4 linked regions of the Struthio camelus genome follow. The protein of the gene in region 1 purifies or fractionates together with the protein of each later gene. This does not show direct contact. Links are inferred from orthologs where the notes say so. Each region holds a gene or a part of one and is shown in the gene's direction. Other genes may lie near its edges.

Evidence for each region.
Region 2: the proteins of PPIE (region 1) and DHX8 purify together in Homo sapiens (affinity purification with mass spectrometry; 3 studies listed by BioGRID and IntAct, counting the BioPlex papers as one, with this or other methods). This does not show direct contact. The link is inferred for Struthio camelus from reciprocal best matches to the Homo sapiens genes PPIE and DHX8.
Region 3: the proteins of PPIE (region 1) and ZNF830 purify together in Homo sapiens (affinity purification with mass spectrometry; 3 studies listed by BioGRID and IntAct, counting the BioPlex papers as one, with this or other methods). This does not show direct contact. The link is inferred for Struthio camelus from reciprocal best matches to the Homo sapiens genes PPIE and ZNF830.
Region 4: the proteins of PPIE (region 1) and AQR purify together in Homo sapiens (affinity purification with mass spectrometry; 5 studies listed by BioGRID and IntAct, counting the BioPlex papers as one, with this or other methods). This does not show direct contact. The link is inferred for Struthio camelus from reciprocal best matches to the Homo sapiens genes PPIE and AQR.

The regions. Positions count from the first base shown.
Region 1 is NC_090964.1:8,126,639-8,134,094, forward strand, and holds the start of PPIE (peptidyl-prolyl cis-trans isomerase E), read left to right. Parts: upstream 1-4,437; 5' UTR 4,438-4,500; coding exon 4,501-4,531; intron 4,532-4,613; coding exon 4,614-4,712; intron 4,713-5,676; coding exon 5,677-5,720; intron 5,721-6,174; coding exon 6,175-6,201; exon of another isoform or gene 6,202-6,504; coding exon of another isoform or gene 6,505-6,543; intron 6,544-6,781; coding exon 6,782-6,863; intron 6,864-7,297; coding exon 7,298-7,398; intron 7,399-7,456. Other genes in the region: PABPC4 (polyadenylate-binding protein 4), read left to right, coding at 85-172, 345-464, 1,016-1,143, 1,809-1,902, 2,027-2,157, 2,247-2,333. UniProt on the Homo sapiens protein: Involved in pre-mRNA splicing as component of the spliceosome. Combines RNA-binding and PPIase activities.
Region 2 is NC_090966.1:8,060,242-8,067,534, forward strand, and holds the start of DHX8 (ATP-dependent RNA helicase DHX8), read left to right. Parts: upstream 1-4,275; 5' UTR 4,276-4,308; coding exon 4,309-4,420; intron 4,421-4,747; coding exon 4,748-4,833; intron 4,834-5,043; exon of another isoform or gene 5,044-5,128; coding exon of another isoform or gene 5,129-5,134; intron 5,135-5,458; coding exon 5,459-5,531; intron 5,532-5,950; coding exon 5,951-6,036; intron 6,037-6,609; exon of another isoform or gene 6,610-6,670; coding exon 6,671-6,780; intron 6,781-6,888; coding exon 6,889-7,200; intron 7,201-7,293.
Region 3 is NC_090943.1:70,979,345-70,986,645, reverse strand, and holds the start of ZNF830 (zinc finger protein 830), read left to right. Parts: upstream 1-4,296; 5' UTR 4,297-4,374; coding exon 4,375-4,496; intron 4,497-4,667; coding exon 4,668-4,767; intron 4,768-5,091; coding exon 5,092-5,212; intron 5,213-5,958; coding exon 5,959-5,992; intron 5,993-7,301. Other genes in the region: BAG1 (BAG family molecular chaperone regulator 1), read left to right, coding at 903-992.
Region 4 is NC_090946.1:50,546,494-50,554,311, forward strand, and holds the start of AQR (RNA helicase aquarius), read left to right. Parts: upstream 1-4,817; 5' UTR 4,818-5,014; coding exon 5,015-5,098; intron 5,099-6,332; coding exon 6,333-6,389; intron 6,390-7,560; coding exon 7,561-7,601; intron 7,602-7,818.

The DNA.
Region 1 (7,456 bases):
CTGGGAACAACTGCCAAAGCATGTTGCAAACGATGTTTGTTATTCACTTCATGTTCCTTCTGAGCTTGTCTCATCTCTCTTCAGGCTCAGAGCAGACCCACTTACTATGCACCCAATCAAATGACGCAGATGAGACCTAACCCACGCTGGCAGCAAGGGGGGAGACCTCAAGGTGAGCATGCTAGACACAGTGCTTTGGTTGTATGACCCTTTTGGCTGTATTTTCCAACAAGAGCAATGCATAGTTTCCCTGCCATGCAGAGCCCCAACCTGCTGCTTGTAGCTGACTGTCGTGATTGCCAGTCAGTTCTGTTTTGAGGATTTCCCCTCCTTTCTTCCATTAGGCTTCCAGGGAATGCCAAATGCCATGCGCCAGTCTGGACCACGGCCAGCACTGCGCCATCTGGCCCCTGCCGGCAATGCTCCAGCCTCTCGTGGCCTCCCTGCCGCTGCCCAGCGAGTTGGTAAGGTGTCTGCCTCCCAGGCTCTTCCCCTCATTCATGGGGAAGGGGGATGGTATTAAGACTTGACTTTTACATCAGACGTGGATAACGGAAGGCTGCCTGGAGCAAGGGGCAAAGACGGCACCTGAATCTTTCCTGTTCCTTGCTGTGCAGTGCAGGTCTGGGGACAATTGGTGCTACAGCAAAGCAGTGGAAATCCAGATGGGTTGCTTTCCTTTCACCTGGAACTCATCTCTACAACTCTGCAACACTTACTGCTCAAAAATGGCTCTGTAGATTATGGGTGGTGGTTTCAGAGTAAAGCATCCAAATTCACTTTATTTCAGGGAATAAGTAGAAAATGTCTTAAAAGCAGATATAGAATCTATGGCTTAGTGTTAGGGAGGGTAGCTCCTTTCTAAAGAAGCCAATTGGATTTTGGAGGCCAGTTTCTAAACCAGTATTAGGCTGTGCAGTGCATAATTAAAGTCCAGCAGTTAATATCAGACATCCCAATTTGCTTGCTGCGTGTTACTGTGGCTGTGTAATTCTGTCCTACTCTTCCTTTTCAGGTGTTGCCGCTGCAGCGCAGAATTTAGCTCCTCGTCCGCCAGTAGCTGCCCCTGCTCCCCGAGCAGTTCCTCCTTATAAATACGCCTCGAGTGTTCGCAGCCCACATCCGGCTGTACAGTCTTTGCAGGTAATGCAGTGGTCTGCTCTGTCAAGTCTGTCTAGTTAACGACAGTCCAACAGGTTTTACACGCAGCTGAAGTGTTTTTACAGAAACTTCAAGCTACTTTTTTATAGTCCCGACAGGGATCAGAAACTGGAATTTAGAAAACTGGCAGTTGTCGTCACATACCTCCGCCAGGGGCAACTTGGTTGATTTGTCTGTCTTACTCTTCTAAGCCCTTTTTATCCAGATTTGCTGTAAGGCTGCTATTCTTGGCTCTTTGCTCTCACACTTTTGCTAGCTTTCACTCTCTCTCATCTCTTTGCTGAATTCTCGCTAGGGTATCACTGAAAGCACAGCTTGCCTCTCTATACACCGCTGCATTGTGCAAAAAGCAAACATGGGTGTTTCTCTTTCTCTGCCATGACATTTGCCTTATAATGCAAGGTCCAGTTTTTATAACTAGGATATTTGCAAGCTACGTGCCCCTGTGTGACATTCTAGTTTTTGAGAATAGGACTTGGAGCGTGTTTGTGAACACAGGGCACCTTATCTGTCCTTTTCTGAAACTGACTCTACTGCAGGCCTGACAGAGTGCCATGTTTTAGAGGAAGGAAGAACTGCCTTGTCTTTAAATATGAAACAATCAGTCTGGCATCTGTTTTTGAATCCTCATCTTTGCCATTCTATAGGCACCTCAGCCTGCAGTACATGTGCAGGGACAGGAACCACTAACGGCCTCCATGCTGGCTGCTGCACCTCCCCAGGAGCAGAAACAGATGCTGGGTAAGTGAATCTCCTGTTTTTTTACAGATCACATCTTATTTTGGAAATCCCATCAGGTTTCAGAGAACTGTTTGATGGAAGCCAGCCTGTCTGAACTGTTTTGTTTGGTTGGTTTTGTTTTTAGGCGAGCGTTTGTTCCCTCTGATTCAAGCTATGCACCCCAGCCTTGCGGGGAAGATCACAGGAATGCTGCTAGAGATTGACAACTCGGAGCTGCTGCACATGCTAGAGTCTCCAGAATCCCTTCGGTCAAAGGTAAATTGGCCTGTTCCTTCAGAGGGGGCGTGGATTGGGGCACCTTAGTGAAGAGAACAGGTCTCACTTTGATAACTTGTCCACCCAAGGTGGAGGAGGCTGTTGCAGTGTTGCAGGCTCATCAAGCCAAGAAAGAAGCTGCCCAGAAGGTGGGCGTGGTTGCTGCTACCTCTTAAACCAGGAAGACTGGTGAGTGTCCCGGTCCTCAGCTTCCGATAAAAGTTTCCCAAATCAGAGTACATAAAGCGTTATTGTCAGTGTGTGCAGCCTGTCTGGAAACCTGTGTGTAGGTCCAGGTGCAGCACTGACTGAAAGACTGATGCATTTTCTCCAATAGAGAATCGTTACGGTAGAAGCTGTAGAGGTATGCTTCAAAGATCTCACTGTATTTAAGTATCAGAAAGATGTTGCATAGGTTCCTGAAGTGTCAACTACTAGGAGCATGTCAAGGAAGGATAATATATTGAGATGAGGCTTCTGAAGCTGCTAATCTAGGAAATAAAAAAGGTAAAAGATGCACAAGATGTTCCAGTGACTTCAAGGCTAAATAGACTGCTAATGCCAGTTCCTTATCCTGACAATCATCTGCCTACAGTATATATTAAAGTCCTGGTGTCAGGAATGTCATTTCATTGTGTAGGTTTATCCAAGCAAGCACTGTCTGTGTTTGGTCCTGGCTCTCATTTGACTTCTGGATAAGATTTTTGATTCTTTGAAGGTTCTTTTTGCTTTTGTTGATGAATTCCTCCATGTGGGTTTGTCTGGACTTAACCATGAACGTCTTGCACTTTTTGTGAAGTTGTTCTGGTCAGATGTCACAGGAAGATGTCACAACTCCAAATGGTAAAGAATGATGAGGGTTCTTATATTTCATTAGTGAATTTCTGAGTGGATCCAGTGATTGGCTTCTCCACGAAAGATGTGAATTTCTTACCAAATCATCAGCAATGGATATTATCCGCAAGAGGAAGACAACTTCTCTGTTCGTTGCAAGTTATACTGGAGTCCTTATGGTTTATAACGCTGGATAGTTCACTAGCCTGGTGTGAACTATGCCATATGCAGATAACTTGTCTTCCTCTTTTTTTACAGGATGCAAAGAAGCCAAATAGTCCCTTCCTAGACATCAGCTCAAGATGTTTGAAGATTCTTCACTGTCCTGCAAATCTCAGTGCCATGCATCATATCACATAGTTAGTTATATTGCATTTTGTAAATTAATCTTTACAATCTTATTTAAAAAGCCAGCTCCATGAAGCTCTAGATTTCCAAAACCAGAATTAAGTTTGCAAGCTTTTCCTTTGTGGTCAGGACAGTTACCCTTTGTCTTTTCTAGGCAGGACATCGAGGATTTCTGATTGAAAGTTTTTTGTGGTTTTGGTTTTAACTGAACAATCCAGTTTGGAAAGTCTGGAAAGCGTTTATCAATAAAGGAATAAAAACTTTCACTACATTTGTTGTCTTTTTTCTAGAATGTAGTAAGCTGCATCACATTAACTTATCAAATTGAACTGGCAGGCAGTTGTCACATGATTGATATGTTAAATCGTGATTGAATTGAGTTATTCTGCTTGTTAACTTTGGACAATCACAGTTTTGGAGCAACTGTGCTAAAGTTCTGCCACAGGATGATTATGTTGGGTTTGGTTAGTGTCCAAATGGTGAATATAACCAAGTGGTGACCTAATAGAAGGCAGTGGGAGGCATTTTTCAAGTGGAGCATGAAAGAGGTTTGGATCGCTTTTTGTTGCCTGTGGGAGAAGAAATTCTTTCCTGCTCTTCGCATATATTCTTCCTTCTTTCAGCTGGATGTTTTCCTTAGTGGTTCTGTCATTACAGAACAATCTGGCTTTTTTATACTCTACAAGGTGGCTGTATTCTGGTGGTGAGGTTAGTAAATGCTTTGTAAACCATTTTGGGTGATCCTTTGGGATGAAAAGCATTTGGTTACCCTGTAAAAGGAGAATGGCTGCTCCCTAGTGGAACTGAGGCTTAATTTGGACTTGCAAAACTAGAAACTTGTGCCTGAGAAGGTCCTCGAAAAGCAGAAAGACCTCTCATGTGCATTGTAATGTTGTTTTGCCTGCCTGTCCTGTGGGGGGGGGGGTATTTTTATTTTTATTTAAGAGCAGGAGAGGGTAGTAAAACATGCAAGTATCCCCCTTGGAAATCAGGTAGTGTGACACACAACACCGGACCTTCCACGTCGGAGGCGCTGCCCGCGGGGAGCCCCGGGCGCGCCGGGCCGGGCCGGGCCCCGACGGCGGCGGCGGCAGCGGGGCGGGGCGGAGCCGCCGTGCGGTTCCGGGGCAGGGGCCGGGCGGAGGCTGCCGGGGAGGGAAGATGGCCACCACCAAGCGGGTGCTGTACGTGGGTGAGCGGCGGGGCCGGGGGCCGGCGGGCGCTGCGCGGTCGGGGTCGGGGCGGCGGGCGGTAACGCGCTGTGCGCCCCGCAGGCGGGCTGGCCGAGGAGGTGGACGAGAAGGTGCTTCACGCCGCCTTCATCCCCTTCGGAGACATCACCGACATCCAGATCCCGCTGGACTACGAGACCGGTGCGTGGTCCAGGGCGGGGGGGCGGCGGGGAGGGGGCTCGCCGGGGCTCCCTGCTTCAGCCTGGGGGCAGCAGCTTCTTCCAAGGGCTCCTCGCCTCGTCCTGGGGCTCGTGGGCTGGCCCTGGGGCTTGTGGTTTCGTCCCAGGGCTCAGCACTTCAGCCTGGGACTGGCCACCCGATCCTTGGGCTCAGTTCTTCATCCCAGGACTCCTCACCTCATCCTGGGCTCACGGCCCTAATCCCATGGCGCCTAGTTTCATCCCAGGGTTGGTTGTCTTTGGTCCTGCAGCTCATAGCCTGGTCCCAGGCCTGCCTGCCTCCTCCTGGGGCTCCTCATCTTATCCCAGGGCTCACCACTTCCCCTGCCATCTTGGGATGGGCTGCTTGGTCCTGTGGCTCACTCCTTTGTCCTGGGACTCACAGCCTGGTCCTGGGGCTGGTGGCCTCATCCTGAGGCTTGCAGCATTGTCCTAGGGCTCCCCACCTCATCCTGGGGCTCACCACTTTGTCCAGGGACTGACTACTTGGTCCTGGGGCTCAGTCCTTCATCCCAGGGCTCATGACCTGGCCCTGGGGCTTGTGGCTTCATCCCAGGGCTCCTAATTTTGTCCTGGGGCTCCTGATTTCATCCTGGACTGTCTGGCTGGTCCTGGGACTCACTGCTTGATCCCAGGCCTGTCTGCCTCATCCTGGGACTCCTCACTTCATCTCAGGGCTCACCACTTCATTCTGGGACTGACTACTCATTCTGGGGCTCACGGCCTCGTTCTAGGGCTCCTCACCTTGTCCTGGGGCTCACCGCTTCATCCTGGGACTGGCCACCTGGTCCCAGGGCTCATGGCCCGGGCCTAGGGCTGGCTACCTAGTTCTGGGTCTCCTCATGTCACTCTGGGGCTCGCTACTTCATCCCAGGGCACACCTCCTTATCCCTGCTCCCTTTGACTGCTCGTTTTTCTCTCCGCAGAAAAGCACCGAGGATTTGCCTTCATTGAATTTGAGCTGGCAGAGGTGAGGAAGGGGCAAATACTTGAGCAGTCTGGAATCTCTTCTTCCTTCCGTGGCATTTTAGACCAGATCCTCCTCTGGTTGAAGACAGCAGGAGTTTTGCAGCTGATTTGAGCAGGCACAGGTTGCCTGTCCTAGCTATGGGCCATTCTCCAGTAGCTGCAGTCGAGTTGCTGTTTTGTCTTTCCGAGTTCCCAGTTTTCCCATTGTCTTTTGGGCTGAAGCATGGCCACTCCTGGTCCAAAACACCCGCTTGCTTTCCCTAGAGCTCATTTTGTCTTCAGCAGCAGTGGGTGGGTTTCTCAGCTTGGTTGGAGCATGGGATGTCATGACCTATCGTGGGCTTCATTAGGCAAGATCTCTCGTCTCCTTTCCCAAATATTAGTGTAAACAATCAAGGATCTTACATGAAAAGAAGAGAAAAAATGGCAATAATGATCTTTCCCTCTTTCCCCAGGATGCTGCAGCAGCTATTGACAACATGGTATGGGCTCTGTTCCCATCTGCATGCTGAATGCTGTCTTGGAAAGTGAAATCGCTGCTCCTCTCCTCACAGCGTGGGGCTTCGCCCTCTTCCCAGTAGGAGCAAGGCAGATTGTTTCAGAAATACCTGTCAGCTCATCTCCTTCCTCCGCATGCCTGATACCGCACCATTCGCAGGAGGGGAAGGAGAGCACAATAACAGCCCCAGAACCGAGCTGTCCTGGGCAGCCAGTGTTGGGAACGGACACGAGCTGGCGATAACCCCAGCAAAGTTTAGCGGCAGCTCTGGCTGTGTATAACGTCGATGAAGCTGTCTGCAAAAACAGGGCGGGCGCTGCTTCAGGTGTGGCCCCGGGGGGCGAGCGCCGGGGCTTGAGCGCTGCTGTGGACCAGGTCCTTGCCCGCTTTGTTTGCATGTTCGCCGTTGCCTGTGGTCTGGTTGCAAGGTCTGGGGCCCTCAGTCCAAAATCAGGAGGAGGGGGAGAAAGGAAGTTCTGTGTTTCTTTGACCTCTGCAGGGATTTGGAGGGAATAGCGATATTTTACCTTTTGGTGGGCTTTGTTTTGTTTTTTCCTCTACAGAATGAATCTGAGCTCTTCGGCAGGACAATCCGTGTGAACCTGGCCAAACCAATGCGGATTAAAGAAGGATCATCAAGGCCTGGTGAGTCGGTGCTTGCGAGAGGAGCACAGCCCAGTGAACAACTGTCAGCACCTCGCGCTTGCTCCAAAATCGGCCTTTCTTTCTGCTTTCCCAGATCCTGGGGCAGAGACCTCAGCTTGTATTGCTCTGCCTCCCATTTGGGGGTCTCACCAGCATCCTAATAACCAAAAATACCCGATTCCTTGATGAAAACACACTTTGCTGTGCTTCCAGCTGCCTTCATGTTCTCTGACTGTTATTTCCCTGTTGACCTGGGTGGCGTGGGTGGCTGCATGCTTTGTCTTTTGGGGTAGGCTGCTGCCAGCCGAGCGCTCCCGCGTGCGATCCCGCTGCCTGGGCCGTGCTGTGCTCTGACCCCACGCAGCTGCATGCATGCTCACACGTGGCCGTTGGGTTCGGTTCCCATGCTCTGACCCTTCCTTTTGCTGTCGCAGTCTGGTCGGATGACGACTGGCTGAAGAAGTTTTCGGGGAAGACTCTGGAGGAGAACACAGAGGAGGGGGCAGCAGAGGCCCCCAAACCAGAAACACAGGAGGTAGGAAAAATAAATGAGCCAAAGCCACAGGGACTCCTGTGAGCGGAGGAGGGAACAG
Region 2 (7,293 bases), on another chromosome or scaffold:
TTCCATGACCTTCTCAGTGAAGTCTTTGAAAAAGCAATAAACTCAATACAAAATGCTTAATACCTCAGCACTGGAGTCTGACTGTATTAAGTCAGCTGTCTGATAGTGCTTCCTAGTCTTCCTGCTACATACACATAATATGTAGAGAAGGGAAAGAAGCCTCAGGAAATGCAGGTTCAGCTCAACAGATGGATTTTGAGCTATGTCCAGCATCACTGCTGAATTCGATCTTATAAGTGGTGTGTTTGGTGAAGATAAAATGATGAACAGTGCAGTAATCATAGATTGTAGGACCCCAGTCATGGACCAGGACTCCTTGTGCCGGCTTTATGCGAAGACAGAATATTCTCTCCTGAATGATAATGCAGGGACTTTGGGATGGGGGTTTCCACTAAATCCTTCAGAAGACCATGGCTGGGAACTGGAGTCGTACGTAACAATGCGTGAAGTAGAAATTCCATCCAGGTATCCACAGATATAATTTGGAGTCCAGACAGGGGAACTTCCACCATATCCCTTGCAGAAATGTGTAACCTGGAGCTTGATGCTCAGGAAGCATGAAAACACTGAAATGTGGTATGTGGTAGCAGTTGAGTTGTTCTGTAAATGTGCTACTACTGTCCTCTCACTGTTCTCTGCCTTTCTTCTCTCCGCCGCTTCCTTTTTGTTTTCCTACATTGCTTGGGAAATAACCTCTCATTTCACTCTGCATGCTGACTACCTAATTGCTGTGAGATTTTGGGGAATTGTGAATTGCACAGCTAAAATGCAAAGCATGCTGAACTCCTGTCTGCTTCTGTCTTTTGTTGCTTTTTGTTAACTTCCATGTTAATCCATAATGACAGAAGCAATATTGACCTAGGGGTATGTGCTGGAGACCCTCACATTTGTCAGTTCAGTCATGATCTGAAGCCATTTCAAATCAACCAGATTTGAGAAAAGTGCTATCCCTTCCCCTCTCCCATCCATCTCCAGCCGTCTGCTTGTCTGTCTGCAGTCCAGAAACCCCTTATACAATAGCTAATCTGTAGGGGACAGAGGAGAGGGGGCCCGGGCTCCATCTGTGCATCATATAGATTGGGATGGGTTTGGCTGATTATAAAGAGTCTTGGCAGTAGCAGCTGCTTGTAGCTAATCTCTTGTGATAGGCTTTGCAATGAGATGCTTGTGTTTGGAAGGGTCCCAGCTTGTCTGATTAAGGCAAGTTCCCAGAATCACATCTTCACTCTGTTCTCATAAGCCGCTCATCAGACCCAGAGTGGTGCAAGCCCTTGGTTTGCATGAGGAATTGGGGATTATTGGAGAAGTTTTTAACTGGGAAACAAATGAGTTTTGCGTTGCTGCTGCAGGGATTTCCTGCTTTCCAAAACAAGACTTTACTATGCCTTTAATGCTGATTCTGGAACTGCATGAGATTGCCTCTATCCCTTGCCCTAGACTAGCAGGTTCTGCTTTGCACCTGACGGTTCAGCGCCCAGCTAAACCAGTGCTAGTGAGCAAAAAAATCTCAGATTGGTGCTTGCTCAACATGTACAACTAAGAAGCACTGCAGAGGAGCTGTGCTAGGTACTGTTAACGTTTGAGATTCAAACTGTTTATTAGGAAATGTAATTTTTTTTTTCTAATGGTAATAACTTGCCACACAAGACATGACTAATTTTTCTGCCCCACCCTTGAGACCCATGCTGCTCAAATCCAGAGAGTTCCTTTACCTTCTCCTTTTCAGCAGCCTGATCTTTGCCTGTAATTCACTGTCTATGTTGACTCATAGCTTGGATTCTCACAGCTGCCTGTGCCAAGCTGAGCTCTGTTGAGCTGCTGCAAAGGTCTGTCTTTGGAACTGGAGTTCAAGGAGATCTGAAGTGTGGGTTTGGTGAGATGCACTAGCTGATAGTGCTGCCTTTGTGCCTGACTTCTATTTTTAATTGATGGCAAATTGCTAGAAACTGGGATACACGTTTTTGCTGTTTCGATTCAAAATCAATACAAACAATCAGCATTTTATTATTTCTCCTCCTGTTTCTAAGAGAACTTTTGTATTAAAATTCACTGTTTTATACCCTTATTACCTAACAAGACTCTTGTGACCCTGCTATTCCCATGTGTGAACTGGGAAACTTTCCTCCCTCTCTGGTGGAGGACTGTAGAAATCCATCAGCTGTCCATTCATATGGACAGAGGCTTGCAGAGTGCTGTGTGCTAGGAGATGCATAGCATTGTGGAAGTGACTAAGCCAGGGATTAGAGCTTTCAAGTAGCTCCTTTCCCCCTTAACCACAAGGCTGGGACTATGGGGAAGGAGCTGGAGAGGCAGCTGAAGAGATGGATGCAATCAAAGCTCATACAGCCCCAGGACTGTCACCTCTGCAGTGCTCCATGCACTCTGTTCTAAGTGGCAGGCTTTTGAAAACACTGATGGATCTCAGCCTGGCTGCTCCACAGTGCTCCGTGTCCGTTGCTGTCTAGCAGTCTCTCTTGGGCCCCCATTGTCTCTGTGCTCAGTCAACAGCAGGCACTTCCTTTTCAGCTTGTCACATAGGCTGACAGCATGAAGTCTTTGGTTCTTTTCTGTTTGCCAAAGCTTAATTACTAATAAATACCTGCCACGTGGTGGGCTTGTCACCCACATTCATCTGGAGTCCCTTACTTAATTGCTGTAATTTGCTGATGAATGCAGTTTGCAGTAGGGCTTTGAGTCTGCTATCGTTGTCTCATGTAGAACATTTCCTAGAGTATGGAAATTCACTCTCTATTTAGATTTTCCCAATAATCTTCTGCAAGTGCTGAGGAGGTACGCTAAGTGAATATGTGAGGTGAAATGTGTCTAGCACAGTAATTTAAAACTCAGCACATGATTTATTGTCTATAAACTGCTAGATTAATTAAGGTGGTAGTACTCAGCTCACATAAATTCCACTCTAATTCTGGCCTTTGAAAGAATAACATGCTATTGTTTCACCTAGCGTTCTAGAGGCTGGACATATTTTCCACTGTTAATGGGCCTAAGTTGCTAGCATGTACACACAATTTGGCTAGACTTATTTATGTTTGTGCACGCAGCATTTTTCACTTGCAGTCTGTGCACTGTTCTGCAGACCTGGAGACAAGGCTCAGACTTCCATCCTCACAAGGGACTGAGAGCCTGGGAGCAAGATTTAGAAGCTGATACTGTTAGTTGACAGGATTTCAAAGTTTCAGTACATAAATCAATTTTGTCTGCTGAATTACAAACTTGGTTTTGAATATAGAATATATTATGACATGTTAGTATGTTACAACCCTCTTATTTTGGGGTAATTTAATTAGTACATACCAGGAAGGAGGTTACTCTTCCAGAAATCCGGGTCAGAGGGGTCTGATGTGTCAGCCGGGCCAGAAGGACCAAGTTCACTCCAGAGCACAGGCAGCCCACTGATTACATCTGCAGCAGCCCAGCAGAGCAGAAAGTTAAAAATTTGGTGAAATGAGTCCAAATGAATCTAATACACAATGAATCTAAGTATATAAGTAAAAAAAAATATTGTGATAGCCAGGAATCCAGACTTAACTCACTGCTGAGACATTGCTCCAACGGTGCTGAGAAGACACTGTTGCTGGCATCAGAGCGTTTTGCTTCGTTCAATTTATGCTTATAATTCAAGAAATAGATATGCATATGAGGGTACTTAGCAGCTGGCTAATAATGATCTCATCCAGGCAGAACGTGTCTGTCTCGTCAAGAAAGCCCACCTTGGGGGCTGCGACGCGCCCCCACACACGGTGGGGAGTGGTGGATGGGTTACTTCGTTTGCTTGGCAAGATGCTGAGTATTTTACGAGCTGCCTCACTTTTGTTGCTAACCCTGCCTCCCGCGCTCCCCGTCTGTCCCTGCCACAGGACAATTTAATCACTGTACTGAGGCCGTCGCAACCGAGCGACATCAGAGCCGGTTCTGCTGCCACCTGTTTCAGGGCCGACGCGGAGGGGGGGGGGCTGGTCCTCCTCTCTGCTGCTCCACTCTCACGTCCATCCTCCCCCCCTTGTTGAGGCACGCGCTATTCCAGGGTTAACGCTCAGCAGACAACCGGACTGAGCCGACGGCCCCGCCGCCCCCGCGCCCCGCCGCCCGCTGCGGCCTCCCGCGAGGCACCGCGGCGCCTTCTCCCGCCTTCGCCCCCGTTGGCTCCCTCGCCCGCCACAACCACCAAGCCGGTGTTACAGACTCTCCCCCAGGAGGGCCGCTCTAGCACGGCGCACCTCTCTATGCTCGGCGCAGAGCTTCCGCCGCGTCCCGGATGCGGAAGTGGCGCCGTGAGGGGGCGGGGGAGTCATGGCGGACCCGGTGGCCCTGGAGGAGCTCGCCAAGCTCGAGTACTTGTCGCTGGTCTCCAAGGTGTGCACCGAGCTGGACAACCACCTCGGCATCAACGACAAGGACCTGGGTGAGCGGCCGGTGCCAGCCGGCAGCGGGGCGGCCCCGGGGGCGCGGAGAAGGGCCTGTCCCGGCGCGGCCGGCGGCCGGGGCCTGTTCTGCGAGCGGCTTCTCGGGTTGAGGAAAAAAGGGGACCTTCCCTCAGAAAGCTTGTCGCGAGCGCGAGAAAGTGCTTGGAGCTGGGCTCCCACGAAGGGGCTCGGAAAGGAAAGCGCTGCTGTGGGTGGATAGGTCTAGCAGAGCCCTGGGCTGCCGCCAGAACAGCTCTTACCAGAACGTGCGCCTACGCTGCCTTTGAATTATTTGCTCTGATTTCCTTTATACTTTTTCTTCACAGCCGAGTTTGTGATAAATCTTGCTGAGAAAAACACTACGTTTGACACATTTAAAGCTGTTCTTCTAAAGAATGGTGCTGAGTTCACTGTAAGTGAGAGCTAGACATTATTTGTACATTTTTGACCTGGCATATTTTATAGAGCCTTTTTTGTTTTAAAAGAGAGGTGTGGGTTTTTTTTTTTTTTGATTTTTTTTTTAAACTGGAAAACTATGCAAATATATAGCTTTTGAGTATACCTATCTGATCAAGCCTTCTCCTACCCCTCCTCCTCCTCCTCTTTCTGAACACTCATAGTCTTTGTGAAGCATCCTTCTGAGGCCTTACTTGAAGTGTTTATTGTCTGATTGCTGAGCATGTGAAATACAGAAGAAACACCTTGTCATGAAGGCAAGTGTTAGCAGAAGTCTTTCTATGATATTTAGATGCCATCTTCCTGTGTTCCTCAGCAATTACTGTAGTTGGATTAAGTAGGTGATTAGAAAAGTGATGAGTGGGAAAATCAGTTAAATGGAATTATCATAATCACTTTAAAATCCAAGTTATTATATTTGTTTTAGGCTGTACGTGAAGCTTTTTTTTTAAAAACAAAGCCTGCATTTTCAGCATTGAGCTTTTTTTGTCCTCCTAACAAACCCTCTCTTGAGCCCTATATTAATGAACAAAAGCATTGAAGTTGCTTATCAGAATAAAGTGTTTTCCTGAATTTTGCAGGATTCCCTTGTGAGTAATTTGCTACGTCTCATACAGACAATGCGGCCTCCATCAAAACCATCTACAAGCAAAGGTATAGATAATTTATCTCTCATCAGTTCAGTAGAAAAAAAAACTTGCCTTTTGTAGCTTTTGGCCATATTTGGTCAGATCAAAGTAGTTATTGTTCTAGTCCTGTAGGACAATACATATCCTATTGCTGTAATGGATTTCTCTCTGTTATTAGTGGTAGGCTTGCAAAGCTGTTGTGGCACTGAAAACATGTTGAGTACAGTATTTAGAGCATTTATGTTTTTCACAGGTTTGCTATTAATCATAATATCATTTATAGAAAGATAACATTGTAATTTTTGAATTTAATCTGTGACAGCTGTGTTAATCTTTGCATTCAGATGAAAATTAAACTTTATATTCAGCTTCACAAATGTCAAGGGCAAATCCTTATAGCACTTCTAAGGTTTTTGTGTGTGTCTGTTTTAATCTCAAAATCAGAGGCAGCTGTCAAACCCAAATCAGAGAAAGAAAAGTTGAAGGAATTGTTTCCAGCCCTTTGCAGGCCAGACAACCCCAACATCAGGGTAAGGTCATAATTTCAGATTTCTCTCATGAGTGTATGGAAACATAACACTTATTTTCTGCAGTTGTTCTCTAGTTTCAAGTTGTATTCATGTTAGCATTTGTATCTCCTGCTAATGCATGAATAAAAATGGACCATGAGAAATGAAACCCAGAAGAAGCAGAAGGCTGATATTATTGGATGTAGTTATCAGGAACTGCTGTTACAGGAATTGCCACATTGATGCTATTTTGCAGGATATTTGAAAGATGAGGCTCCTGTGATGTGAAATTTGTAGCCTGGCCTTTCTGACATAATGTTTAGAGCAACTAATCATGAACTAGATGAAAATCTTGGACATTAAAATGATACCAGGAATTTGTATTTTGTATTTCGGTAATAATTTGGATGTTGAGATAAAACTCTTCTTTTTGTAAAAGCGGAATTGGCACAATATTATGGCAAAATGGGAGGAAGCATTTTTTTTTTTTTTTTAATAATATCATTTCTTCTTTCTATATCATGTATTCTGTCTGATCTTTCTTTATCCTATATTAATTCTAAACAGAAATGCACATGATTATTCTTTGTGTAGGTTAATTCTTTGTGACAGACTCTTATCAGCCTTCCTACAGAATGGTTCTCTGTCCTTGCAGAATATGTTGGATGAAGATGATGTGAAAGTGGCAGCTGATGCACTTAAAGAACTTGAAGCTCTAATGCCTAGTGCCGACAGGCAAGGCAAGCAAAGGAACAGTGACCACCGGTAGGTTTTTAGTATGTCTTTAGGGGATGGGTACAGGCAGTTCATATTGTCTACCCACTGTGTTCTTATGCAGAATTTCGGTGTAGACGTCTAATGTTTGTTTGATAGGGCGAAAAAAAAGAGGAAGAGCCGAAGCCGCAGCAGGGACAGGAAGCGAAGACGCAGGTCTCGTTCTAGGTCTCGTTCTAGGACTTGGGACAAGAACAGGGGGAAATCCAGATACCGCTCAAGGAGCAGGAGTCAGAGTCCCAGCAGGGACCGTAAGGATCGAGAGAAATATGTCGAGAAGAGCAATGATAGATGGAGAGACAAACATGTGGACCGTCCACCACCTGAAGAGCCTTCCATTGGCGACATTTACAATGGCAAAGTGACAAGTATAATGCAGTTTGGATGCTTTGTGCAGCTGGAAGGACTAAGGTACCTTCTGATCTTCACCTTCATCTTATTCCATCTGTGTTCTGCTCTCTGCTAATATCTTAAAGAGTGTAGGATGCTACTATAAAGTAAGCT
Region 3 (7,301 bases), on another chromosome or scaffold:
GCACAACAATGCCGCCAACTGACTCGTACTGGAAGCTGGGCAACACCTTGCTAGAGGTGTTCTTTGGAAAATTTAGTGTCTATTGCAATGTACCAACTTTCTATAGACAACGAGCCTTTAAAGTAAAAGCTGTACAGAACAGCAGCTGTGCTGGATTCTTTAGTTGCTTTGCTGTTGTGATGTTTAGATTTTCCTAGGCCTTGCTTCCTTAGAGACCTTAATCTGGAGTTTTGTTACTAAATGCTGGAATTTCTACCCCACCCCCAAAAAAGAAAACTTCCATAAATGAGTGGTAATCCTACTCATATTTCTGTTTTGATTTGTATTATACTAGCTTCAGTCACAGGTTAGACTCCTGAAAATTGTTTGTGAATGTACCTTGCATTCATATACACAGTTGCAAGGTTTTGTCTTTTATTGTAAAATGTATTAAATAATTATCAAAAATGTTTCCTAAATATTTTTAAATAGGTACCCATTTTAGAGGAAACGCTACCAAGAAGTACTTTGCAGTGGAAATGCTTTTCTGTTATAGCTTTAGGTACAAAGTGCACTACAGAAGTATATGTTACAGGAAGGAGTTTTAAAGTTATGTCTAAAACTAAAGCCTCACCTTGTCTGAACCTTTTTGATCCTTACTGATGTTTGTGGACTTTGGATTAACTCGAAATGGTTCAGTGGCAGGACTCGTGAGGATGGACAGCCATGCTGTTGCCTTGTCGTGTTTCTGTTAGATTCTAAGTAAATAAAACTGGTAATAAACCGTTATCAAAACTGATCTGGGAGGTGGCTGTTGAATTGCCTTCTTTACGTGATGGAAACTTTAGCTTCTGTTCTTAAGAAGCAGTCTACCATTGCTGTAATTGCATCCCTGATAACATTTGTTTGTTTCCTGTTTTCAGGCTTTTCTTGCCCAGTGTGATACAATTGAAGGAAATATTGGTCAAGAAATGGATAAGCTGCAATCAAAGAATTTGGCGCTGGCAGAATGAGGCATTGCTCTACTTAACTAGGAAACATAATTGCTCTATGAGCAAGAAGAAAAGTTTGCTCTTTGTTTTGGAGCACATATTCAGCTTTTTTTGTTTTGTTTTGTTTTTTTAAGCCCAGTCTGTTAGACTGGTACTAGTCAATCATTACTTGCTGGTTGTCATGTTTGCCACTTGGTTAGAGACCTATTATTCTGAAAAGAAAACAATCCTTCCTAAAGAACTGCAGAAATAACATTTGTGGTGAATTGTCATGTAGCTTATGGACGAGTGTTTAGTTAACTCAGTAACAAAGTTTGCAGTGATGGGCAATTTTGTCTGCTCTGTCTTGGAATTTATTTACAGCTCAAATCAAAGAAGATCTATAACCATAAAAATGCCATAAGTTGCAATTGTAGAACTTCAATTTGATTGAAAAAAAAGCAAACGGGGGAAGTATAACATTCTAGTAGACCGTTCAGAGCAATAAAAAGACCGCACATTTGTATCCACTTATTGTTTGTATGCATTGATAAATATAAGAAAGCTTGACTATAAGGGAGTCATACCTATTTTAGCCTTAAGTTGTCATAATAAATGGAATGTACTGTAACATGCATGGTACTTAATTTTGAGTAGTGCTTTACGTTCTTGTTGAGCTCCTTGATACAGGTGTATTTTTTTTAACATGGATTTCTGATATACCATGTGTTTTATAGCTCGTTTTTATTTCTAGTGTTCCGTCTTGAGTTATGGTGGGAAATGAAATGGGATCGTTTATGCTGCTCATATACCAAGGATTCAGTTCAAACAAGGTATGAGTAGGGAGCTATTTTAAAAGATATTTTTGGCTTCTCTTCTGGTTTCACTGAATTTTTAATGGAAAATTGCAGTGATTGTTTCTGACTGATGTTTGCAGACAGATACGTGCCCTGGTAGGTGAAAAATGAACTTTAGCAGGAGGTAGTAACTGTTCCAGCAGGTGCAGGCAGCTGTGCTTGCAATTGTGAGTTACAGCTCACAGCTGGCTTACCTGCAATGGGGGCTGCTTTTTCAGTGACGCTTCTGATAGGTAGGTCTGTTGTCATACCCAGTGACCGATGACGTACTGACCAGTAGGAGCCTGTTCCTGTGACAAACCTGAGCTCCTTCATCTCACGTCAGTCAGAGACTGAGGATGTTTAGAAATGGCCCCTTAGATAATGAGTCTTTATCTGCGTATGACTGTTTTGTGATTAGCTCTCTTTACAAGATTAAAAAAAGAGAATGTGTCTAGAAGGATAATTTCTAGTAAGTTACAACCATTAAAGGATTATCCTGCAATATTTCTCTGGTGTTTATAATTGGAGGAGCATTTCTTTAGTGAAGAACACCATTGAACAAATGAAGTGGTAGCCCTGCATTAAAAATGAATCACCTTTATTGTAAAAATGCTTTTTGACCATATCAAGATTCAAGCTGCCATATTTTTGTTGTCACCAGTTTCTTTAAGATTGCATTTTTTTTTTTTCCATATGAAACTCTGTTTGTAGGAGCTATAAAAGATTTTAAGGTCTAAAATCCTGGTGAACTTGACTATGAGTTAGAAAATGGTATATGTGCTAGGACTGTGGGTATTTTTTCCTAGTGTTAGTGCTCTGGTCCTGCTGTATTTGCCCAGCACTTCAAGTTTACAGGGAGGAACAGTTGTAGCCATTTTCGTGAAGCCCTAGCTTGGTGACTCTGCTGACTCTTAAACCAACAGCAACACGGTTGCTTAATTCAGAGGATGCCAAATTGCCCGCTTCCCTTTGATGAAAAGGATCCTCACCTTCTCAAATGTAAATGTGCTCTAACGCACTGAACTTTCACAGATGTGTGTATAGTAGGCAAAGTATTCTCCTCTGCCCATGAGGAGTTGTGGTCATGCCTGGGATTGTGTTCACTTCTGCTGCTCCTTGGTTGTTTTCTCTTTTCGGCAAGAGTATTAAGGCTATAGGCAGACATTTTCTTTCGGATCTCTCTGTCCGTGGAAAAGGTCATTGACTCCCGCTACTTACCATCACTCTTTTACCAGAGACTGCTGCTCCTTGAGACCTGATTGGGTGGATACATCCCGAACCCGTCTCAGAGCGGGACAGATTACTTTCAAGATTTTAAGTAGTAAATCTTTGCTAATCTGGTAATCTGAGGCAAAAGGCGTGATGATGAACCTGTCCCACCAGCACATCTGGATTCAGAAAAGGATGTCCAGAGCTGAAGAACTTCTGTGATAGCTCCCGTTATCAGGGTTCAGCTTCTAGGGCAAAAGTGTAAGCGTATTAAGGCAAATTTGTGCAATGAAAAATCATTGTTTTGAAAACTAGGTATAAAAATGAACTGATTCATTTTGGAAAATTGATGGTTATGTTTAAAGTTTTCTAAGAACTTTTAGAGTAGATTGACTTTTATGTTTATTTTTGAAAGATAAGCCTTACACCTCATGTTTTCCACAATAGCCTCTATTTTTTTAGTAAAAACAACAAAAAATTTTGAAAAGTGCAGCAGACTACAATCGTGGAAGGAACAGGGGAAAACTGGAATCACTGAGAATTTGTAAAGGTAAACATGGATCTCAAAGTCAAATTTAAGGTATATTCTCCCTAATGCTGTAGTCCTGTTGTACCTACCTTGCTACCAAATCAGTTCTCCTCCTCTACCACCTGCCCTGGCCGTGTGAAAAGGCAAAGAAGTTGTTCACTTTTGCAGTAGTTTCACTTATCCCATTGCCTTCCACTTGCTGTATTGCTTCCTTTACACGTCTCGGATTGGCGTTCATGCAAAATGTCTCACCGTGCAGTTTGTCTTCTCTGAAGATTGGAGTAGAGTCACAGTTGCCCGGTTCCCTGTAGGCCGTAGTGTGAGACAGACCAGAGTGATGCTCGCGGAGCTGCAGTCTTGAGCTGTGGGACTTCTTGCCCTTTACTTTTAAGAATGGCTTAAAACATGCCCTTTTTGGAGATGTTCTCAGTGACCGAGTTCTCCGGGCAGTCATACTGTTGTAAAGCTGGGCTAATGCTTTTTGGATGTGTCGTAGTAGCTCACAGTTTGGAGTGCTAGACTTGACACCATAGAACTTGGCCCCCCCCCCCTTTTTTTTTTAATTATTTTATTGTACCATCACAAATGAAAAGGAAAAAAAAAATGAAATATGGAAACTTCTCTGCTGTCCTTAGTCATGTCCGCTCCCGCGCTGGGGGCGGGGCTCCCGGGGCGGGTCACGCCCCTTGTGGGGGCGGGGCTCCCGGGGCGGGTCACGCCCCTTGTGGGGGCGGGGCTCCCGGGGCGGGTCACGCCCCCCGGCACTGCGCGCGCGCAGGGGCCTGGCTCGCGGCGCTGGCTCCACCCGCCGCCGCCGCCGCCGGCGGGGGAGGTGCTGCCGCACAAGATGGCGGCGGCCGGGGTGGGCGCGGGGCGGAAGCAAGTGCGGCAGGAGGAGCTGCGGCGCCTCATGCGGGAGAAGCAGCGGCAGAACGCGGGCAAGAAGCGGATCGACTCGCCCTTCGCCAAATATCCTCCGCCCCGCTCCCCGGGCGCGGCCCTTCCCTCCTCGCGGCGCGGGGTGGCGAGGCGGGGCCCGCCGCGCCCCTCGGCGTGTCGTCGGGGCGGCCGGGGCTGGGGGGGGGGGAGAGGGGGGGAGGCGGCACGGCAGCGCCTTGGCTTCCCTTAACGGCGGCGCACGTACAACAGCCTGGGGCACCTGAGCTGCGCGCTCTGCAACGCGCCCGTCAAGAGCGAGCTGCTGTGGCCGACGCACGCCCTGGGGAAGCAGCACCGCGAGGTGAGCGGGGCCCGGGGGGTCGTTTCACAACGTTTCCCGTGCCGGGGCCTTGGGGTGAGTCGAGCCTGCTGCTCTGTACGCCTGTGCTTTTCTGCTGTAAACATGAGCGACGGCAGTCGCTGCTTGGGCGGGCGGCGCTGCCCCTGCCCCTGCCCCGCCGGAGGCTGCCGCCAGCACCGGGCTGGGTTTTGGGCGTTGGTGATGCCCGCTGTAGGGGGCGGGCTGGCTGTGGAGCGGCCTTAGGGCCCCCCTAAGGACGTGCTGCTCTCCGTGCGCCGCGCTTCCAGCTGCTCACGGCCTCCTGACTTTGGTGCTTCTCTGCAGAGAGTCGCAGAGTTAAAAGGCACGAAACAGGCAGCGAGCGGTTCAGCTGCTGGCACGTCGTCTCACCCCGTCAAGAGAAAAAACGCTGATGCGGAAAATACGGAATTAAAGAGAGCAAAAGGTAAAGGCATGACAATACCTACAAAGCGCGTGCCAGAATCTGACGTTTTGCGTCTGGAATGTGTTTGTTCACCAGGCCAGGAGAAAGCTGTTATTTTGGTAGGTTAGCTAGTTTTCTTCTGGGTTGGTGGGCCACATTAGGTCGTGGGTGGTGGGGTTGGTCTGGACAGCGTGAGAAACGATGTAAAGTAAGCAGTGGAAACGCTTGCCTCGGAGTAGAAGTATTCCTTTCCAGTGAAATCAAGCCATTAGGTTACCTCAAACCGTTCACAAAACTTTGTGCTGAAGGAAAGAAGGTAGGTGAATCTCTTCTCTTGCTGCTACTGAATACGTAACATATGAAAATGCCGCGTTTGTGAAAACAAACGTTTTGGAGTTCTCTGCCTTTGAAGAATTATCTCTGTGCTTCCAAAATACTTTGTTGTCCCTGGTTCGTACACAACGAGTATTTTTACGTTTCTTTGTTATATTAGGTGTTGTAAGACAAACTACTGTTCTAGGCTTGACTAAACGCTAGGCTTAACCAAACACTGCCTCTTTGAGAGTAACTTTTTGTGTGCGCAGGGCTGGAACTCTGTTAGCACCGGTAGTACCTGACGGTCCTAGGGGACACTTAAGTCGCGGCAGTTGAGAAATTATGACAATAGACGCTATCTTTGTGAAGTCACTGCTGTGGTAAGACTTTACGTGAGGGATGTTTCTTTTAAAAGAATGGACTGTAAGAAATGACTCCTGACTGTTATCTAGGTGCAGATGAGAAGCCACACACATCCACATCTGGGTAAGTAGATCTTACGCATTTCTCGTAACTTGTATGAACTTTGTTACGCTCTCACCCTGTTCTTCTTCATCTCTGTTTCCCAGCCAAGGGTAAAGATACAGATACAAATCGGCAGATCTCTGCTTCTGTTCGGTGTCAAATGTGGGTGTACGTGCATGAATTTGGCAGCATCTTCCTCCGTGCAAAGACTAGGGTATTGACTCTAGAGGCTGTGACAAAGCAAGAATTCGTTTGCTGCCATAACAAGACATTTAATGCTGAGTAGGGTGGTATTATAAAGTCTACTAGAACAAAAATAGCTAGATTGTGGCATGCACTCTGATCTGTAATGCTAGCATCCTGCAAAAAACATTATAGCCTGATAGTATGAAGAGTTATATACTACACGTGCAAGTGATATTTAGTCACAAGAACTTTAATAAATGCCACCAATAGATTTTTACTAAGACGTTTTTGTTTCTTAAAATGCATGTAAATGCATACCTTCCAGATGAAGTCTCTCTCTTACAGATGTGAGCATACTTAACTTCAAGGAATTGAGTCATTTGTCCTCACATATGCGTCTTGGTACAACTTGAGATTTCTGAGGGTATTTTGATATTCACGTGAGGTTGGGAGATAGCGCGTGAGACTTGTAGGTCTCCTGTACACTTTTACATAGGGTGAATTATTATTATCTTGCATTGATATTAAGCACTATTATCTTGACCCTAACAGACATTGTTATCTTGTGGGAATTCTTTTTGCGTGTATAAAATTACACAGTTGTGAAATTTGTTCAGCATAAAATTGTTCAGTATGATTAATTTTAAAATCACGCAGGAAAAAACATTCAGCTTGGAGGCCTGCAAATATCCTAAAAAATCTGGATTTTCTCATTGCTGAGGCTGTGCAGCAGTTCCTGGTTTCAAAATGAGTTTGTTTCTTTGCAGTTCTGAGCTGCAAGAAGTACCTATAATAAGTAGTTGTATTATACATGAAGGTTATCAAGGTTTAGATGATGTTTGTATTACCGCTATCCTATGAATTTTCATTCACAGCAGGTACACAGATACAAATAACTTTGAGTGGGAACGTAGTATTACCTAAATAATTTGTGTTCCTGAAACCTCACTTTGTTATAGAATGCTTTTATTAAATTATTTTACGGTGAATATACTAGCATAAAAATTGAAAGTTGAATGTGTTTTCAGTACTAACCTGAACGTTCTTGAGGAACTTTAAAAGAAAGCAACAATTATGTACCGCCTTTGAACAATGGTTACACTAGCTGCTCTGCAGTTTAGTATATTGCACAATATTGAGAAGA
Region 4 (7,818 bases), on another chromosome or scaffold:
TAGCACAGGAACGTCAGCCCCTGCCTGAGCTCCATGAGTCTTTAGGGAGCTTTCTGCCTCATTTGGGATTTCGCTTTTAGTCCAGAGAGATTACATCCTGAAAAAGGTGATGGAGCACTTCTAGAGTACATTCAGAGAGGCTAGAAGAAGAGTCCCTCTGGCTCTCTAACCATGGCAACTAATGTCTGTATTGTATGGTTTCTTTTTATTCCTACTTTAGTGCATCTGACTTCTTTAACAGGACTGCTTATGCTTGGATTTAAATTAAAAAATATGTTTCCAGTTAGCAAAACTCCACAGTCTTCAATCAGGTGACTGTTTGCTTGACAACCCTATTAGTATGACTTGAAAATGGAGTGAAAATAGGCTGTAATTTTAAAATACTATGTGGTATTTATAAATAGTGTCATAGGTGTATATTATTGAGGCTTTTTTCTACTAAAAGTGAATGAAGAATATTTACCCCTTACACAATATGTGCAAAATCCAAAACACTGCAAATTGAGAATGCTCTTGCTTTATGAGTTAATAATTAAATAACAGCATCAACATATAAAAGGTCAGCAACACAGCCAAGTCATAAGCTCAGAAATTTCTGACTCACAGAAACGTCATCAAACTATTGAATTAAGTTTTAGAGGGCCAAAACATCAGAATTTGTCTTTAATTCATGTCACACTGAAAAACCTAAAGCAATCACAATTAATATTAGAATGATTTATGGATTTTTTTTTTTTGAGTTCTTATTGCTAGAAAATCATCACATTGCCAGCTTATGACCTTGGCTTGTACAGTTTACAAAGTAAAAGTGGAAGAGAATATTTTTGCTAGGTACAATTACACAGAAAGGCAAGCATCCAAAACCAGAAGGGCTAGTTAAGCAAGAAAGCAGCATTGAATATAAATTGACCAATAATATATGCAGCCTGGAAATGAATAATAGTCTTGAAAACTGCATCTCCTCAAATATGTGACTTTTTAAATAATATATGTCTTCATGAATGAATTAACAGATTTTTGAAGAGAAAGAATATTTAATTTTCTTGACGCATTAAGTCAACGAGTACAGAAAGATCGGGAAGTTCACAGCAGGCTTTGGGGAAGACGGAGTGCAGCGTTTCCTTTTTCCCCTGGACTACAAAGCATTTTAAGGTGGAGAGTGACAGACATGCCTCCACTCTGGGAGAAACTGAGTGTAGCAGTCTTAACAGACAGTTGTGAGCTGGGTGAGTCACAGGTGGGGACATAAGCACCACACTGGTACCAGTATGTCTGATCTCAGTATGTCTGATCTCACCACAACTCCTCTTCAAAGGTTCAGCTGCTCTTGATACTTGGAAGTACATCTTGCCAAAGCATTACTTAATACTTTTGATATTCTTTTATAGTCCTACCATCATTGTACTCTGTAACTAAACAATAGTCCCTTACAGACTAATATTTAACGCATCCTTTGTAGGGAGGAGATCTTTACCACTTTACTTGGCATTGCCATCAAGGGATGTAATCATATTGCCTAACAGTAGGCATCGAACTTTAGCTTTCTTTATCAGCAGAGGCTCCTCCAGGAAATGAGTCAGAGCATTTACATGAGCACTGATGTGCCTTCTGGAAGGGTCTCTGACTCTACATTGACTGCAGAGAAATCTAGGACAACTAACCTCCTCATTGGGACACCCAAAGGCCAAAAGTTAGGTAAATACAGATTCCTCCTTGAGCTTTCATAGTTTAGATACCATACGGAAATCTAAGGTTTCTGAGAGATGTTTAACACTCACAGACTGATGATCTATCATAAACAGAAGCCAACTGTTGGACAGCTGGAATAATTTAACTTAGCCATGCAAGACCATCTGGGAAAATTTACCAGCCCAAGTCCAAAATCTATTTGCCTTGCCTACCTTTTGGCATGGTAATTGTTCCAAAAAAAAAAAAAAAAAAGAGAGAGAGGTAGGCTGCATTGGTGACACTTAATGCATGTTACTGGAAAAGAAATCTAAGGTCATAAAATACTATCAACTGAGATCCCAAGTAACCATTACCTAATCTCTCCTAAACATATCACACCATGTCTTAAGCATAAGTTAAACTTACGGCTCCCACCTGAAAGCCATTTTTAGAAGCCTTCCTATTTTCAGCCTGTTTGTACGTAGCTTTTGTTCCTTTGCCCTCTTTTTCAGCACCGATTTGTTCCTTCAGTAGTTCCTTCTCTTCCTGCCATTTACCCCTCGAATCTACTTACGGGCAGTAGAAGTACTCTCCTTTTGCCAAACTGATAAACTGTTATATTACTATTCATTACGGTACATGCAAACATAAGCTATCTATGTTCATTTCTGAGGTGGTTAGGTATAGGGGAAGTTAATTCTGGAAGCTACTACTTAACAGTGTTCTCTCCAACTTATTGGCTAAGGTACACCAACATGCTAACAAGGCTCATCCAGCGAGCTTAGAGCATAGGTAAATTGTACTTATGTTTTTTACATTTGTCCAGGAATGCAAGTGCTAGCAATCATACAAAGCAATGGAGAAAGCTCAAATGTAACCGCCTGTTTAGGTGTCGGTACAGAATTAGATAAACCTAAGTCAATCATGAAGCTGCAGCCTCTAGGTGGATTACTTTAAATCAAAACATTTGACTTTTGCTGATTTTCATCACAGTTTAAATGTCAGAGTACATTGGTTTAAGTGTATTTTAATTGCTTTGTATTTGCATATCTTTAATTATTAGACTGGATAGTGCTCAATCCTTGTTGTTTACATAAATTATTATCACTAGCTCTTGAAAACTTTTTGATTTTACCTGTTTTCATATAGCGAACTTAGATTTTCTGGATCTTGCAAAGCACAGGAATGGAATAGGTGTATTTATTTGAATGCAGCCATTGTCTGATCCTAGTCGAGATACTGTCATTACTTTTTCCGTTCCCACTGTACATTCTAATTCAACTTCAAAAAGAATATTTAGTTTAACCTCTTCTTGAAGAAATGAAATGGAGATCACCTTGATATCAAAACAAAGGAGGTCATATTCAAACAGACTTCAATGATATCTGCCTGGAAGTTTAAAGTACTCAAGTGGCAGGTGCTGGATAATGAGCACAGAAACAAAGCACTGTAACTTCTCTAGGGATTATGTTAATTTCCTCCTTAATTAATCTGTTTACTAAATAGAATAAGTTAATTGCAAACCATTCTAAATCATAACCAAATTGCTGGTTTCTGTAAGCATGTACTTTTCCCTTCTCGCCCTTTTGCCTCTCCTCTGCTCCACAGATTTTCCATGTTATAGATATATATCTATATATGAAACAACATGCACTATGCTTAGATCTTGGTGGCATTTGTTTGATGTTAACAACAGATCTTTTCCATATTAGCTCTTGTATAGTATTTGGACTGAAACCTTTGCTCTAAATAATAACAGCAGTAGTCACTAGGTATACTTATATAGCATTTGAAGAGCAGGCATAACGGCAACCATAAGCCTGACGTGTTCTTAAGTGCCTCTGCCTTTACAGTCTTTTCAGACGGCAGTCTTTTGAACAGCTTTTTCAGGTTTTCCTAGCAATGTACTAATATACTGAGTCACACGTGCTTCTAGGCACAGCCTCTGCCTTCATCTAGGCCTAGTCATACGGCAACACTATTGGGATGACGTAGCACGGCAGTCTGGCCTGGATACAGGCCTTAAGAGTGACTCCGAAACGTAGTAAAGACTTATCTATCCACCTAGCAAGACAGGGGTAAAACTGCCACTGCCTCTCTGCAGAAAACTAAGAAAAAAAAAACAAAAGAGGAGCTTTCTTACCACCTCATACAGATTACCTGTATCATTAGCTGCAAGGTGGTAGAGAATGAACACCTCCAACTCAGACAGATAATGGATAGGAAAGAATTAGAAACAATAAGCTGCCAGCGTGTGGCTGATAACGTTGATAACCAAATTGCTCCCACCTCAAAGTTTCAGATGAGTTCCTAAGTTACTTCTGGGTCTCTCTGCAGTCTGTCTGAAATGTTATACTTCACTGTCATCACTGTATCCATTGTCTAGAGTCTTTCCCTGTAATTTTGGGACAAGCTTTGGTTTTATCAAACTAGCTTTTGGCTATTTCTCTTGCATAATCATGCATAATTTATGTTACAGAAACAACACTAGCAAACAGGGAAATAAATTAAAAAAAAAATTTAAAAACCCAAATATAATCGTCCGAGAGCCTTGACCTACATTTTCAGTATTCCCTTCTAGGCTTTTCTCCATGCATTTTGGTGCTGCCAGAAGTATTTTAGGGACTGTAAATACGGACACGTTAGTCTGGACTACTGCTACGTGCAGCCAAGTATGGCAGCACCCAGGCTAATTAATCTCGCTTGGGCAGTGCGCCTAAAACCGACGCACAGGCATTTCCCACACAGGCGCGCCCGAGTGCGCGCTGAGAACCACCACGTTTACATCCCGTATCTGGCAGAGCGGAGGCTGGCGACGGCACGGGGCCTTCCGCCCGCTGTCCGCGGCGGGCCGCTACCGCCGCCCCGCTCCCGGCGGCCGCCACGTCGCGAAGCTCCAGGCGGGCCACAGCGGCTCTCCGGGGCTCACGGCCTCGTCACAGCTCTCCCTTGACCCCACTCCGTGGCCGCTCGCCCACTGCAGCTTCCTCCCCCCTCCCCGCGGCCCTCCCGCTGCCCGGCGGACCCGGCGGCGCCACTGCCCTGCCCCGCCCCGCCCCGCCCCGCCTGGCGGCCGCCCTAGCCCGCTCCGTGCCCCGGAAGCGCTCCGCGCCCTCCCCCCGCCCCCCGCGCTCGGCTCCCGTCACCCGGCCGCTGTTTCCGCTCCGCTTTCTATTTCCGCACTTCCGGCGCTCTGGGCGCGCGAGCCCGTGTTCGGGACACGCCATTCCCGGGCGGCGAGGGGGGGGAAGCAAGGGGACAGCGGCGACGCCACCTGTGCGGGGAACGAGGGGGGCGAGAGCGCGGCGTGGCCGGCGCGTGCGAGGCGGCGCGGGCTCGTAGCGCGATGGCGGCGCCGGCGGCCTCGGCGCCGCCGAAGAAGATCGTGGCGCCCACCGTGTCGCAGATCAACGCGGAGTTTGTGACACAGGTGGGGCCGGCGGAGGAGCGGGCCGGGCCGGGCCGGGGGAGCTCTGGGTGCCTGGTGGGCCGCGGGGCGCCAGCGGCTTGGCTGGTCACCGGGCCGGTAACAGCCGGGCCGCGCGCGAGGCGGGCGGCGGCGGCTGCTCGCCTCGGGCCGGAGCCGGAGCTGCGCGGGGCCGTGCGGCCTGGCGGAGCTCGCCCGCCCGCCCGCCCTGCGTCGTGCCGGGCCGGGCCGCGCTGTGCCTCCGTGAGGCCGCTCCGGCTCCCTTCTGCGTTTGCAGAACTTGTTTCATCGTTGGCCCCAGTGGCTACGATCTCGCTGTATAAACGGGCTTTGCAGCCTGCGGTGTTAGGGAAAAAGGGTTTAGCTTTGTCGCAAGCGAGCAGGTATTTTTTTAGACCTGGATTACATAGGGCAGAGTGTGTGCCCGACGAGTTTTCAGGCTAGAGAGACTTGAAGAAAAAAAGTAGGAATGTTACAAAATAAATGAGGATTGTCATAGTACACAAAAAACTGTATGAAATTTTTTGTAGTTCAGTGTTCTAAGTGGTTTTATACAGCTTTTTTTTTTTTATACTGAAAATACTGCTTTGCTTTCTTTTCAACCACATAAATAAGTTTCAATAAAGACAGCCCTTGGCAGCATAGCTCAATAGTTTTGTTGCAACAAAGGGAATAGCTACAGTGAATAGTTTGGAAATATTGGAGCTTTACATATAGCCCTTGGTTTTTTTAGTGGGGTGTACTCATTTAGTTAAAATTTTCTAATCTTTGCATTGTATAAAAAAGCCTGGCAGCAGCTGCTTGTCCAGTTCAGTCTGATTCAGAAGTGTACAAGCTTAGAGTTCTCTGAAGTCTTAATTTTTCATGTGGGATTACTTGTTTCAATAGAGGGATTTGCAGCCTCCTGAAAGATCCCTGTAGATTTTTCAGGGATTTGCTAGGGGAAACTTAAGAAAAACAGGTTTGCTTTTGTAGTACAGCACTGTGTGCAACTGAAACTTTTATGAGGCATCACACCTTTATTGTAAAGATTTTAGGCACAGAATCTTAAATAGTTGAAAGTTATTGTTGTTGGAGAACATAACGTTTGTATGTAGTTACTGTAAGTTGAAATTAAGCAAGAAACTAGGGAAATACACAGCCAAATCCAAAGTGTTTAGAGTGTTATATAGAACAACATATGACAACTGAAAGTGTGTTTGTTTAATGTATTTCAAACTTGTTTTTTTCCTTACAGTTAGCAAACAAATACTGGGCTCCGCATGTGAAGAAAAAGTTGCCTTTTGATTCAAAGGTAAATATTTTTAGTGGTATTGTACCGCGCTGTAAAAGAATAAGAAGCAATACTTTTCTGCCATGCTAAACTGATGCTTATTTTTGTAAGGGTGTAGGAGACTACTCGGAAAGTCAACAGTTGCTTAGCACGCTATTAGCTGTTGCTTAAGTTGTTTGTGGTTTATACACATAGGTACCGTTCTGAAGATGCGCTATAGCAGTGCAGTTCTTTTGCATGCTATTTATTCTGTTCGTTTTAGCTTGAGAGCTTGTGAGGGAGAAAAAGATGTTTGAGAAGGGGGCACTGTCAGAAATCAAAGAAGGACCAAAGATGCAGGTAACACTAAGCTGTAAGGGTTCCTTTTAAAAACTTCTTCAGAGGGTTTTGATCAGAGAACTGAAGTGGTGTTTTGGTGGTTACCTGCATTGTGAATGTTTAAAATTTGGCATAATGTTTTTGGTTCTCCGTTGGTTTTCTGTAGTGCAGGCTTCTCAAATGTTAGTTTTCATTCCCTTGTGGATATTTGGCTTAACCGTCCTCTCTTGCCTTAGTTTACCCACTTTCTTTACAGTGTTTGTGGTAATATTTGCATCTGTGATTGTTAGAGCTAGAATGTAGATGATCAGCTAAATTACAACTCTGACAGCAGATGTGATATCAGAATGTGCCTACCGCAACAGATAGTGCAGATGAATTGTCTACAGTTCTTTCAGTCCTATTGGAAAATATAGAACAGTGTGGATTTGGTCAGTTATAAGAAACAGTGGCAATTGATGCCTGGGGTGATACAAACTTGAATCTTCAAGACTATTCTTTAAATTCAGCAATAGACCAAAGATGAGCCATAAAAAGGTATACATAGCTGTTTGACTTGTGTATCAAATCTCAGTGAGGTGTAGGTTGTTCCTTCTGAATAACTTGAATGAAGGTCCTATCAGTTCTCTACCATCGTGTGCTTTTTATTCCCCTTAGCTGATTAATTTTTTTAGTGCGGATGTCTGTCTGTGGAGCTTTTGGTCTCCTCAGAACTGAGACATATCTGTTATGACATTTTTGACCAAATAGCATTACACAGAGAGTAACTAATTCAGAGTAACTTTGAGTGCATAGAATACTTGAATGTATTTTTAATCATGTCATTAAATATGTAAACTTCTTAAAATTCCTTTTGAAATATTCTTTCCCATAGGTTATTGAAGATGTGTATGCAAAAGAAATTGTCAGGTCAAAGTAAGTACGTCACTAACAGACAAGTATTCCAACGTTTTCTCTACTGAAATGGTCTTAAATGTTTATTGAACTACTTTAAAATACACTAAGATGAAAATAACTCAAGCACATTTGAGCCATTTAATGGATGATATCTCATTTCAGAGACCAAATGGGGTAAAAAGAAAACTCACGAGCTCACAGTCCTTAAATATGAGGGTTGGATGTAATTGGTTCC